3 linked regions of the Drosophila melanogaster genome follow. Changing the gene in region 3 together with the main gene of any one other region gives a genetic interaction. Each region holds a gene or a part of one and is shown on either strand. Other genes may lie near its edges. The genes, in order: Syx4, CASK and Nrx-1.

Evidence for each region.
Region 1: of Nrx-1 (region 3) and Syx4, changing one enhances a phenotype caused by changing the other (phenotypic enhancement), as found in Drosophila melanogaster (one study listed by BioGRID).
Region 2: of Nrx-1 (region 3) and CASK, changing one enhances a phenotype caused by changing the other (phenotypic enhancement), as found in Drosophila melanogaster (one study listed by BioGRID).

Annotation. Positions count from the first base shown.
Region 1 is NC_004354.4:2,742,466-2,746,219, reverse strand, and holds the start of Syx4 (syntaxin 4), read left to right. Parts: upstream 1-2,143; 5' UTR 2,144-2,736; coding exon 2,737-2,769; intron 2,770-3,261; exon of another isoform or gene 3,262-3,303; intron 3,304-3,422; coding exon 3,423-3,659; intron 3,660-3,754. UniProt on the Drosophila melanogaster protein: Potentially involved in docking of synaptic vesicles at presynaptic active zones.
Region 2 is NT_033777.3:21,820,537-21,824,290, forward strand, and holds the start of CASK (CASK), read right to left. Parts: upstream 2,139-3,754; 5' UTR 1,947-2,138; intron 488-1,946; 5' UTR 170-487; coding exon 111-169; intron 1-110.
Region 3 is NT_033777.3:22,467,656-22,471,409, reverse strand, and holds the start of Nrx-1 (neurexin 1), read right to left. Parts: upstream 1,933-3,754; 5' UTR 926-1,932; coding exon 20-925; intron 1-19. Other genes in the region: CG5377 (uncharacterized protein), read left to right, coding at 3,428-3,754. UniProt on the Drosophila melanogaster protein: Neuronal cell adhesion protein involved in synapse formation, development of synaptic active zones, synaptic regulation and visual function. Plays a role in cell adhesion between the pre- and the postsynaptic cell.

The sequences.
Region 1 (3,754 bases), on a different chromosome or scaffold from region 3:
GCACCGCCAGCGCTTTCCATCAGTTTCCATTTCTCGTTTTGTGCGTGAGCCTCTGACCCAAATAAAAACAAACAAAAATAACAACAGAAGTGGTAACTAAGGTGGGGACAACGCACAAAAAGACTCATCAAAAACTCATAAATTTGCAATTTTCGACACATGACAAAATAAATTGTAAACAAAGGAAAGCGCGAAAGCCGAGAAAACTAACAAAAAACGGGCACAATAAACTTGACTGCCTATAACAATATCTCCGCTTTTCCGACCCCTTTGTTTATGGAAAAGCAATGGAAAAAGGTGAAAAGCGGGTGTTAAACGCAGGGAATATGAATATGTTGCTGTTTTGCCAACAATTTGCACTAAAAAAATAAGTGAATAGATAATAATAACCTGGAATACATTTTAGACTTACAGTCCGCAATGCAAATAAAGGCGGGAAAAACAAGAATTTCATCTTTTTGTATTCTCATTACCTAAACTCAATGAATCCCATGGATTGATAAAAATAAACTGCTTTGTATAGCCACTCCACCTAAATTGAGTTTTGCTTTGTTATGCAGTTTTTTTTTTTAACTTTACAGCACAAAAGTGACAATATCTTCATTGAGTCAGAGTTCTATACGATCGTTTGTAAATAAAAGCGGATTCACGACTTTCGAGCAATTGAATGCCTCTTAATAACGAGTTGGCAAGAAATCGTCGACTAATAAAATGATATTGGAACTCACAAAACCTTCCGAATGTATCTGATAAGCGATTGGCGGTTCGAATTCCACGACGGGGTCACAAAAAAAACATGACTTATATGACTCATTTTAAAAGCCAAACAAAAAAAAAATAAAGCAAAAATAAAGTAACAAGTTCAAGCTCAGAAACATCAGTTTATCTCAATCTCAATTAATTGGTATTTTGCAATAAAAAGTAAATGTTCATGTTTAAAGGGTGTATTAAAGGGTATTCGCGAATTCACATATTCCACATTGAATTTCCAAATCGATTTAAATGTTTTAACCTTATGGCGCTACATGCAGTTCAATTCAAAGTATCAGTATATCACGTATACGTATGCTTTTTATACAATCATTAGAGAGGGAAGAATTCGCGACACGATTCTTTTCTGCCGTCTTTTTAAATGGCATGGCAACTTGAGAAGAATTGCGAACCAAATGAGAAATGGAAATTCGCAACTGTCTGGTGTTGATGGTTTTATTTTTCTTGTTATTGTTGTTGACGTAGTTGAGGGCAGTTCATAAGCTTCGTTTTGCAACCGCAAGAATTGCTAATATAAAGCGGGTAGACCATCTAGCTACCCAGTAAGCAAAATAGCAATAAATTTATTATGGGAAACTTTCGAAGAAACAAGCAACTGAACTGTGCTTAAGAAGTATAATTTACACAAGCGTTTTGAAGGGATCAAGTTGTAAAAAGTGGTGAGTACAACGCTTGACAATGAATTTACACCCTTGACCTACATAGATGCGACCCGCTGATACCCTGTAAATGCATATGGTGGCACAGTACAAAGCCAGCAATAGAAAAAAGTTCAACTAATTAGCGCAAGTGACTTTTGAACGTTCTCGTCGCAGGTTTATTTCTCTTACTCGGTCTTTTATTTCAATTGAACGGCAACATGGAGCGTGAAAAGTGCGACAACAACAGCAAAAGGCGGCAGAGCAATGTAGAAATGTTTACCATACAACAGAGTAGAAATAATAATAAAAACAATTAACACATTTTTCTCCGCCGCCTAACCAGTTTTCATTTCGGTGGCAAAGACGATTTATTCATTTTATTCGGAGACAACAAAAAATGTAGATCGCCACTAACTACACATAATGTAGTACGAGTCTCTATCTTTATCTCTCTCCAGCTAAAGCACATGAACGTACATATCAAATACACCGAAGTTCATGAAATCGAATACCTTCGTATATTCAAATCACAATTCTATTGCTGCATTTAATGTACATTTTTGAATTTTTCATAACTAATTTGAATTTGGATTAGGCCCAATGAATTTATACCATAAAATGCCTATTATTTTGGCCCAGGCTGTAGCCAGAGTGTTTGCTGTCTTTAATCTTTTTGAATTGAAAGAAATCTCGACGCGACTGGGAGGCTCTGCGTTTTTGTGCCGGCGTCGATTTTTTAGTTCGAAAACGTATGCGGCGCGGTGAAGACAAAGGAATTGATTTTCAATAAATCGAATAAAATGTAGCCGAATGTATTTACATGTTAAATTTTAAAAATACATAAAGCTAGTTTTTCCCATAATCCAATTTTTTTCTTTTTTGTGTTTGTGTGTGTGTGCAACAAAAGAGCGAGTAAGAGAGCAAAGAGCCGCCAATAAATGGCAAATATGTGATAGGTGATAATCTGTGTTTAGGCCTTTCTGACTGTCCCTCTCTCTCTCTCTCTCTCTCTCCATGACTTTCCACCCCGCCCTGTCGCTTTCCGAAGGGCAGACGGTAAATATTAGGCGGCTCTTATCAGAAACTTGTGCGCTGATAAGCTTTGATAGCAGGTTTCGCTCTCTCCTGCGCTCTCAATCAAATTTTCCCATTCGCGAACAGCTGTTGGAGGCAACGGCAACAACAAACCAGGAACAAAGCTCAGAAGCTGCTGTAAAGGATATAAAGTGGACATTTTGGAGTACTGGAAAGGAATTCAAGGAATTGGCATAAATTTGGCATATAATTGGCATAATTCAAACCAAAGGCAGTCCAAGTTGCAGAAATGGGTAAAGATCGACTGCCCGAGCTTTTGCAGGTAAGAAAATATTAGAAACGTGGGTGGTTGGTTGGGAGGTTGGGATGAGGTAACTGCTAATTAGTTTGAAGCACAGTGGTTTGGCATCACTCAAACCGCAATACGAATAAAATCTACTTAACACGATGAAATACATTTGGTGGTATTTGCCAGGAAAAGGATTCCACTTTTCTCGGTAAAAAGTAATCCTAATCAAAGTTTTTTTTTTTTTTGCGGCACGTTGAAACACATTCTGACCAAGGTGCTGCCACCTTCTTTACAATTGGCCCAATCTCTCACATTTCTGTTGGCGCTTTTGGCACTATTTCGACTTGTGAGCCAAGGGGGTTTGGTGGGTGTTCGCTATGGCATTTATCAGATCGGCCAGAGATAACGACGATAATGTGGCCACACATCACACTTACGGGGCAACCCCGCGTTTCCGCCGACAAACTTTTAGCACCAAGTGAATTTCAGTACCGAAGTCATTTTTATAGTTCATTTACACCGCGCCAGATTGTGAACACACAAACGTAAATAAACTCAACCAAAGTTGTTAGTTTCAATTTAGTTTTTTCTCAGTTTTTCCCTGCAGTTCGTTAGGATCGCATGGACCTATTTTATTTTTATTTATTTATTTTTTTTTCTTCTCATTTTTGCTGTACTAATTCCAGCGCTCATTGAGCACGAACTCGTCGAACTCGTCGTCGAACGGTTCACTGCTTTTGAACGTGTACAGTGGAACCACGGAGTTCATCATTGGCAACACCGGCGGTAACAATAATAGCTACAGTGTCGTTAGCCAAAACTCTCACAGCTGCAGCAACAATAACAGCAGCACCGAACCCAAGGATCGGTCCAGTTCAAAGATGACGCAGTATGGCTCGAATGTGGATGACATACTCAATCCGGTGAGTTTAAGGATCGAAGTGTATACAAAACACAACTTCAGAATTCATACAAGTTTTTACTATTATTGAGTATTGAAATAGTTAATAGAAGAAAC
Region 2 (3,754 bases), 650 kb from region 3:
GGGATGGGCATACGGGGCGGATACATAATACATAATGAGATAATGGCCATGGATGCCAGCTGTCAGCAGCAGAATCGGCTAAAGATATAGCCGGTGGGGCGCTAACTTACTTGCCAATGACCTCGCACAGCTCGTAGACGTCGTCAAAGAGAATTTCGTCTTCGGTCATTTTGAATAATTGATGAATTGATGCCTCGACTCAATTGCTTTTTCGAATATTGATGAGTTGTGTCCTGTTTTTCGTGTCCGTCGCTTTTCCTTCTCCCGCTTCCTTTGCCCGTCGTCGCCTACTGCCCTCCAAAAACGAACATAAAAAATAAACAAAAAACTAAGCGGCCAGTGAGCAACTCCAAAACTTTGAGCGTTTTCCTTCGGTTTCTTCTGATGATTTGTTGTTAATGGTATTGTTATTGGTGTCGTTGATTCGTTGTTGCCGCTAATGCTGTTGCTGTTTTCGTAGCTGCTGATGTTAAGAATGCATTTTGCGCTGGAAAAATATAACAAGTGAAAATGGTGAAGGTGAGTTTTTCCATTAGTTGAAGGCCGCTAATCAGATTTATTTGGCGTCTAATTAAGAAACTGTCAAGAAGCTTTGCGAGAATTCTGTCAAGCAGATGACGCAAATATAAACAAATTTGTTTACATTTGTGAAAAATTATACACAGATTTTAATCAAGAAAATTTGCTAATAATTTCCTAAATATTTTGTAATCTTACTTACAAACTAAGTTAAGTTTATAATGCTATCTGAATCAATCAAATTGAAAATGCCACTATAAAGTTGGGCTGGCGTGTTGACACTTGTGTGATGGGAACACTTTTCGAGGGACCACTGTTAATGGTGTCGCAACGGAAATGAGACTGGCCTGGCCGAAACTTGTTTGATATGTCAATCACACTCATATCAGGTGTAAACCCCAATCAATTACAGGCGGCACACACCACAAATGCACAAAATGCTGTCGAAAGTGCCAATGGTAGGAAGGAAGTATCCCCGCACAGTGGGCGTTGTGAATTTTGCAACGGAAATGATGGCCAGCTGAAAAGGTAAACAAGCCAGCAGGACCTGCAGAATGTGTCCTTTTCGAGGGTCTCGTTCCAAGGATGTTCGCGGGGAAAGTTCGCAGGGGGGGAGGGTGGATGGGAGGCGCTACCTTTGTCTTGGCCATACTATTATTATGCCTTTTGGTCCAGCACTTGAACATACTTTTCAAAACTTTGATGGCACTCCAAAAATCCGAAAGGAGAAAGCCAGAGAGCGAGAGAGTGTGAAAGAGAGCGAAGGAGTGCGAGAAAGATGGCGAGCATGGATGTAAAGTGCGCCGGCGCCGTGGGAAATTCGTGTAAAGCACCAAAATTGTAATCGTAAAAAATATAAGCTATGCTTTCTGCCCGGGCTGCATGAATATTTAAATGTGCAACAATTTACGATGCACACACGAAATGTGGAGAACTGAGTTGCGACTGCGAGAGCAGGACGGAGCATTTGCGGGGAATCCCCGCGAAGGACTTTCTGGTAGTCATGTTTAATGCAGAGCTGCGCATGGGGCGCGGTGTTTTTGGCTCGGTTTTAGTATTCGGGCTCGAGGGTTTTACCTTGCTCGTGTGCCGCTGTTGTAAAATGCCTTGACACTTTCCACACGACCTTACCGCCCACCTCACTAACGCACCCACCCACACCCACATACACTCACTCACTGACTATGTGTGTGCATTTGGCCCTGCTTTTAGGACTTTTTGAGACTCTCGAGTGTCGCACAATTGGCAAATTGATTCTTTGTCTAAAGGATTTGCATTGCTCATGTTCCACGCCCCCTTATCAACGACACCGCCCCCTTTATCGGCCACACATAGAGGGGGCCACACTCACACCACACACACACACACACACACGAACACACACTGGCACGAACAATTCGCATATAGTTTTATGTACGAAAACCCACCGATTTGGCAGCGATTCTTCAACGGCCGCTGGTTTTTGGCATTTTAGCGAATCGCATTAGCACTCGATTGTCTAGGTGCGCAGCACGAATCGCCTGGCAAGCTGATTGCATTGGGTAATTTACTAATTTTAACTTAAAACAAACACGGCCCGTGAGGAATTGATTGGCGAAGAACTGGTTGCAACTGAACCGGTTCGCCGCGAACTAGAATTCCAGGGCTGCAGGTGCATTGCTGGATTGGTTCGGAACTTGGAGTCGGTTCACGGCTCTCCCATTGAAAATTGATACCAACCTGTGTTCATTAAAAATATTGTTTTTAAAATAAATTTAAGGGTGGTACTGCAGCAACTTACTTCGTTAATCAAAGTTTTAATTCAAGAAAGTTTGTTTGAATCAAGCAACTGGTTATACTGGAAAAATACCAGAAACCCGTTGGTATCTAAGCTTTTCTGTCATTTTGTTATTAACTTTATTTGGTCTGTTAAAATTTGCGCGGAAGTTTTTGAAAAAAAGTTTTGGGGACGAGAAAGTATAATTTTGGAATATTGTTAAGAATATAGTCATTCATAACGACACAGATGTTTTATCGAAATTGAAAATAAATACTATTAAAACTTTAATTTTGTTAAAGAAAAAGTAAATTATATTTTCCTGCTCCTTTCTCTTCGGTAGCATTTTGCATATGCTTTTATTTGCTTGACTTATCAGCAAAAGGCAGTTGTTTTCCTTTGATAAATACCCACTGCATGCTTAATAAATTTACTCGAAAGTAAGATAATTCATTGCACACTGAATTGTTTCCGCTTGAGTGAAGTCAAATGGAGGTAAATATTTATGCGGTACGCAAGCAAGTGCATAAAGCTATTGTGGAATATTGCACATACGAATTTCGAACACTTTCCAGTTTTATCGGCAATACGATGCCAATTACCATTCATCAACTTGAAAGTAAACATTTTCCCCTTCAAAAATGATTCACGATTTATTTAACTGGACTAAGCCACCAGTGTGTTAATACAGGGATTTTCACTACAGAACCTTTATCAACTTACTTTATCGCCAGGCTCGTTCACAGCTCATTGAATATTACCATATTATTTACATTACTTCTCTTTCGCGCCATTCAACTTTATCTATTATTATTATTATTACCCCACAGCATTTGATAAACCCATTAGAATAAATTAAGATCTTGGCATTAATATGCCAGGCACACACACAGGAGTCCCTCAACCGAAGACGAGGAAAACCCACACGCACTCCTCGAAAATAAAAAATAAAAACCGTAGGTGCGTAATCTTTAAATCAGTTGGAAGGGGCTGGTGACGGGGGCCAATACTCAAACATAAACATCATCAATTACAAAACCTCGAACAGCAACAACAACAACAATCACCGCCAAACGCCCAACGACAACAACACACAGATAAGATGCAAGAGAAACAACAAGCCAATAAGGGAGCAACAAACACAAAACCATCAGCCAAATGAAGAAAGACCTGATGAAAATGAACTCAATATGGCCATATTACTACGGGGGATATAGTCGAAAAGGATAAGCACCAACAACCATTTCGAGATGAGCAGCAAAAACAACAAGTGTTAATGATCAGCAATAACAACAGTGGTCACCCACTAATGTCCACCTTTCGATTGTAAAATAGCAGCCAATTAAATTATACGCACTATGAAATATTCAGAAATAATAAAAAAGTAATTAATTTTTTTTTTAATTTATACAACTTCTTTCATAATTTGTGAGATCAATCAAATAGTTTGGGTATAAACTAAAAAGTACACACCTTCCT
Region 3 (3,754 bases):
CAATGACTAATGGACTCACCCTGAGCGGCCTTTCACGGGCGGGCAGCTCTCCGTGATCGCAGGGCACATCGCCGCACTTGATGTCGCGCTGCTGCTTGATCTCCTGGCGCCTGGTGGAGCCGCCCGGCTGGTCCGCGTAGACCAGATTGCGGATGGCGCCACGGAAACGCGGTTCGAAGATAACGGATGGCAGGGCGAGCAGGGCCAGCTTGCTGCTGTACCAGTTGGGCATACCGCCCACATAGACGTCCGAGTTGCTCGCGAACTTGCCGAACTGGAACTCCTTCCCCTTGGTCGATCGCTGCTGGGAGACGCCGTCCACGATGAGCGATGTCTGCTCATCGTTCCGCAGGACCTGCACCTTGTGCCAGTGGCCGTCGTGCAGTTCCCGACCCACGGTGATGATTTGAGCTCCGCCACCAAGGTTATATCTCAGCCGCAGTGCTCCTTCCACCAGCTTCAGTTCGAAGAAGTCGTAGGTGCCGCCGTCGTCGGTGTAGAGAACCAATCCGTTGGGCTGTTCCGTTTTGAACTCCAGTTCGAGGGTCCCATTCAGTCCGGTGTACCACTTGCGGAAGGTGTAGAAGGAGTTTTGCGATCCATCTAGCTGGAATCCGGCGCTGAGCGTCACGAAACTGGCCGCCAGACTGACCAGCAGGGCGCTGACGATGAGCACGCGGTAGGAGCGACGGTATTCCACGACCACGGGAGGCACTTGCTCGCTTCTCCGCCGGCGGCGAGCCTTGTTGAACCGCAAGTCGGGGGATTCAAAGGCGGAGGTGGAGGTGCGCTGGGCGGGCAGGAGCCTCAGCTCCGCCTGATTTCGATTTCGCTGCTGATCCATGTCCATGCTTGGCCGTGTCCTGGCTGTCATGGCCGCATCAGCATAGTTATCCTGATATGTTGCACTATGTGGCGCCTTCATTCACACGCACGGTGGCACTCGGGCTTACCCACACAGAGGCACCTACGCACGTTGCGCGCGTAAACGTAAAGTGTCCTTCTCCCTCTCTCTCTCTCTCACTCGCTGTGTTTCTGTCGCGTATTCCAGTCCTTGAGCGCGAGCTTTTCGCGTGTCCTTGTGTTGGTGTTACTCGGCAATCCGTTTTATCCGCGCCTGCCAAGAGAGAGCGTAAGAGCGCGCGAGAGCGAAAGCTCGGCCACGCGAAGTTGGCTGCGGATGTTAACGGTACACGTCGACTGTTAACGGCACTGCACCGATTATTGCTTATGATTTCGCCTGATTTTTTTGGTCCTTAATGTTCAGCACCTTCAGTTTTCGGCATTTTGTATACTTGATTTGCATAATTTTTGGCAATTAAATTCAAAACGGCGCATATTTTGCATCGATACTTTGTCAGACAACCGTTTCTCCGACCGAGTCGGCTGTATTAGTAATACTGGGGGTTATGGTTGGGCCAAAAGCTCGCCGGATACCCCTGCCACCGCAGTTTGTGGCGCCCACGAGCGCTCCATCGTACATGTACATACTAAAAATCGGAAAAAATTTTCACTGCATATCGCAAATGTAGGCGAAAATTTTTCTAAGCACCTCACAGCAAGTGCCCCTAAAATGGGCGCTTTACTGCGGTTGATTCCACAGCAATCAGTTATTTATGCGTATTGATTGAACTATTGATTGGATACGAAATTAGTTGCAGAGACTGCACACAGATTTTTCAATTACACAATTATTCCTTTGAATTTGCACGATATTCTTGTCGCTCCTGCTTTATGTAACTTTTCGGGCTGGATTTTAGCGCGACGCGTCCTTTTCGTTTTTGTTGGTTGGTTGAATTTATTTTTGCAGATTTTTCGGTTCAATTTCGAGGGATACAAAAATGTTGTGTGTCGAAATTTGCTTAGCAGCGCCTTCCGCTGCTTTTAGCTCCGATATCGATCCGCGCTGCATCCACGACAAGACTGAACTGCAATTTCAAACTTAATTTCTTCGCACTGTTTCCAATGGATAACGAAAGCTCCGCCAGCTTATTCACAAAAAGCCACTGGTGCGGTCTAGGCGACTCGAAAATGGCACTACAATCGAACTGGACAAAGGAGTTTGTACCTCACACTACTGATTTTACATTTAGACAAGTTAAAATCGTTCAGAATTACTGGAAATCTTGAATTTAATGGTTTATATTGGTACTTTGTTGATTTACCCGAAAAAGTGTGCTACGGAAAAGGAAAGCACCGCACGCTTTGAGTGTAGTGTGTGGGAATGCCAAAAATTAAAAGCTCGCTTACTTCGCACGAGGCATGCATATGTGTACTACTAACACACAAACGCACACATAGACACCAGCTGCCCACTCACACATGCGTAATAAGCGAATAGCACGCAGGTTCATAACCTGCACCACTAAAGCGTATTAGATGCCACATTCACATGGATACACACATATGCATGTTCAGCTGTGTGCGTGGGTGTCCTGTGGCCGCACGCACACTCACACACACCAACTCAAGCTGACACCCCCCCGGGCTCACTATCTCCGAGACGACCCGTGTAAATTCCTTGACATTTACTACGCAACTTCGACATCTCGGAGTCGAATTCGATTTGCATTTGCATTGGCAGTGGAATGTGATGTCCCTTACTCTCGATTGTGGGTGTATGTCCTGCCTCTGTCAAATCCCATCACCCTGCTCCTTCGTCCTAGGAGAGCAATTGCAAGGCCGTCGCCTCCATTAATCGTCGTCGCAGTCCAGGCGAACACATTAATTTGAGCACACGAATCACGCACTGACCATTACAGCAGGGACCAGGATCCTGCTATTAAGCACTTACGGTTTTTAATAATATTTTAACGCACGCTAAAGGCTAAACAAATGCCAGCACGTGCTGTCCATTGTCCTTCGGAGTCGTGACGTTCAAGTGGACTAACAAGGACTAAGATTGGGAATGCCAAAAGCTGGGGGAAGAGCGAAAAGCTTAAAATCAAACTGAGCGGCAGCTCTTGAACTTTCAAGGGCTTTTAAACTACCATTATTTTAAAATCTGTGGAGAGTTCGGCATTGTCAAGTAATATTCTTCAAAATGAATGGAAAAATCTTTTAAATTTCAGGAACATTCTTAAAAATGCAAGTGCATCACCCAATGCCTAAATATCAATATGAAAATATTTTTCAAATTATTAAAAAATTAACGATTCTTTTAAAATTAGTTTTTTGGTATATTTACTTTTGATTTAACGGTATATGGCATCATCGCACCTACAGCCACACTAATTCGATCGTTTACTTACAGCTGTTCTTATCAATCAGCTGTTATCAACGGATCTTTATCAAGTGCACTTTACAAGGCGTCGTGTGTAAAGATTAGAATTTGCCAAATATTCCTCTCTGGACATCTGAAGAGCCCTTGAGAAGCAGCTAAGTTTGTTGCCATACTCCAAAATCCCCGTTAGATCCCGCTTACGTAATGCTGGGCAATCTGTGCCGGCTTGTGGGTGCCCGTTCCCCGATCACCAGGCGCTTGCTGCACACGGAGCGGAAAGTTCGTGTGAATGGCTCAGATTTGAACATTGTGGAGAGCGGCAGTGGGGAGCGGAGTCTACTCCTGATGCCGGGAGCACTGGGTTCCTCGTGGACCGACTTTAGGCCCCAGATCGAGCAGCTGCCGAAACTGCTGCCGGGTCACACCATCATCGCCTGGGATCCGCCGGGTTATGGCAAATCAGTGCCGCCGCAGCGCAAGTTCGGCCTTGAATTCTTTCGGGAGGATGCCCAGGCAGCCGTGGATTTGATG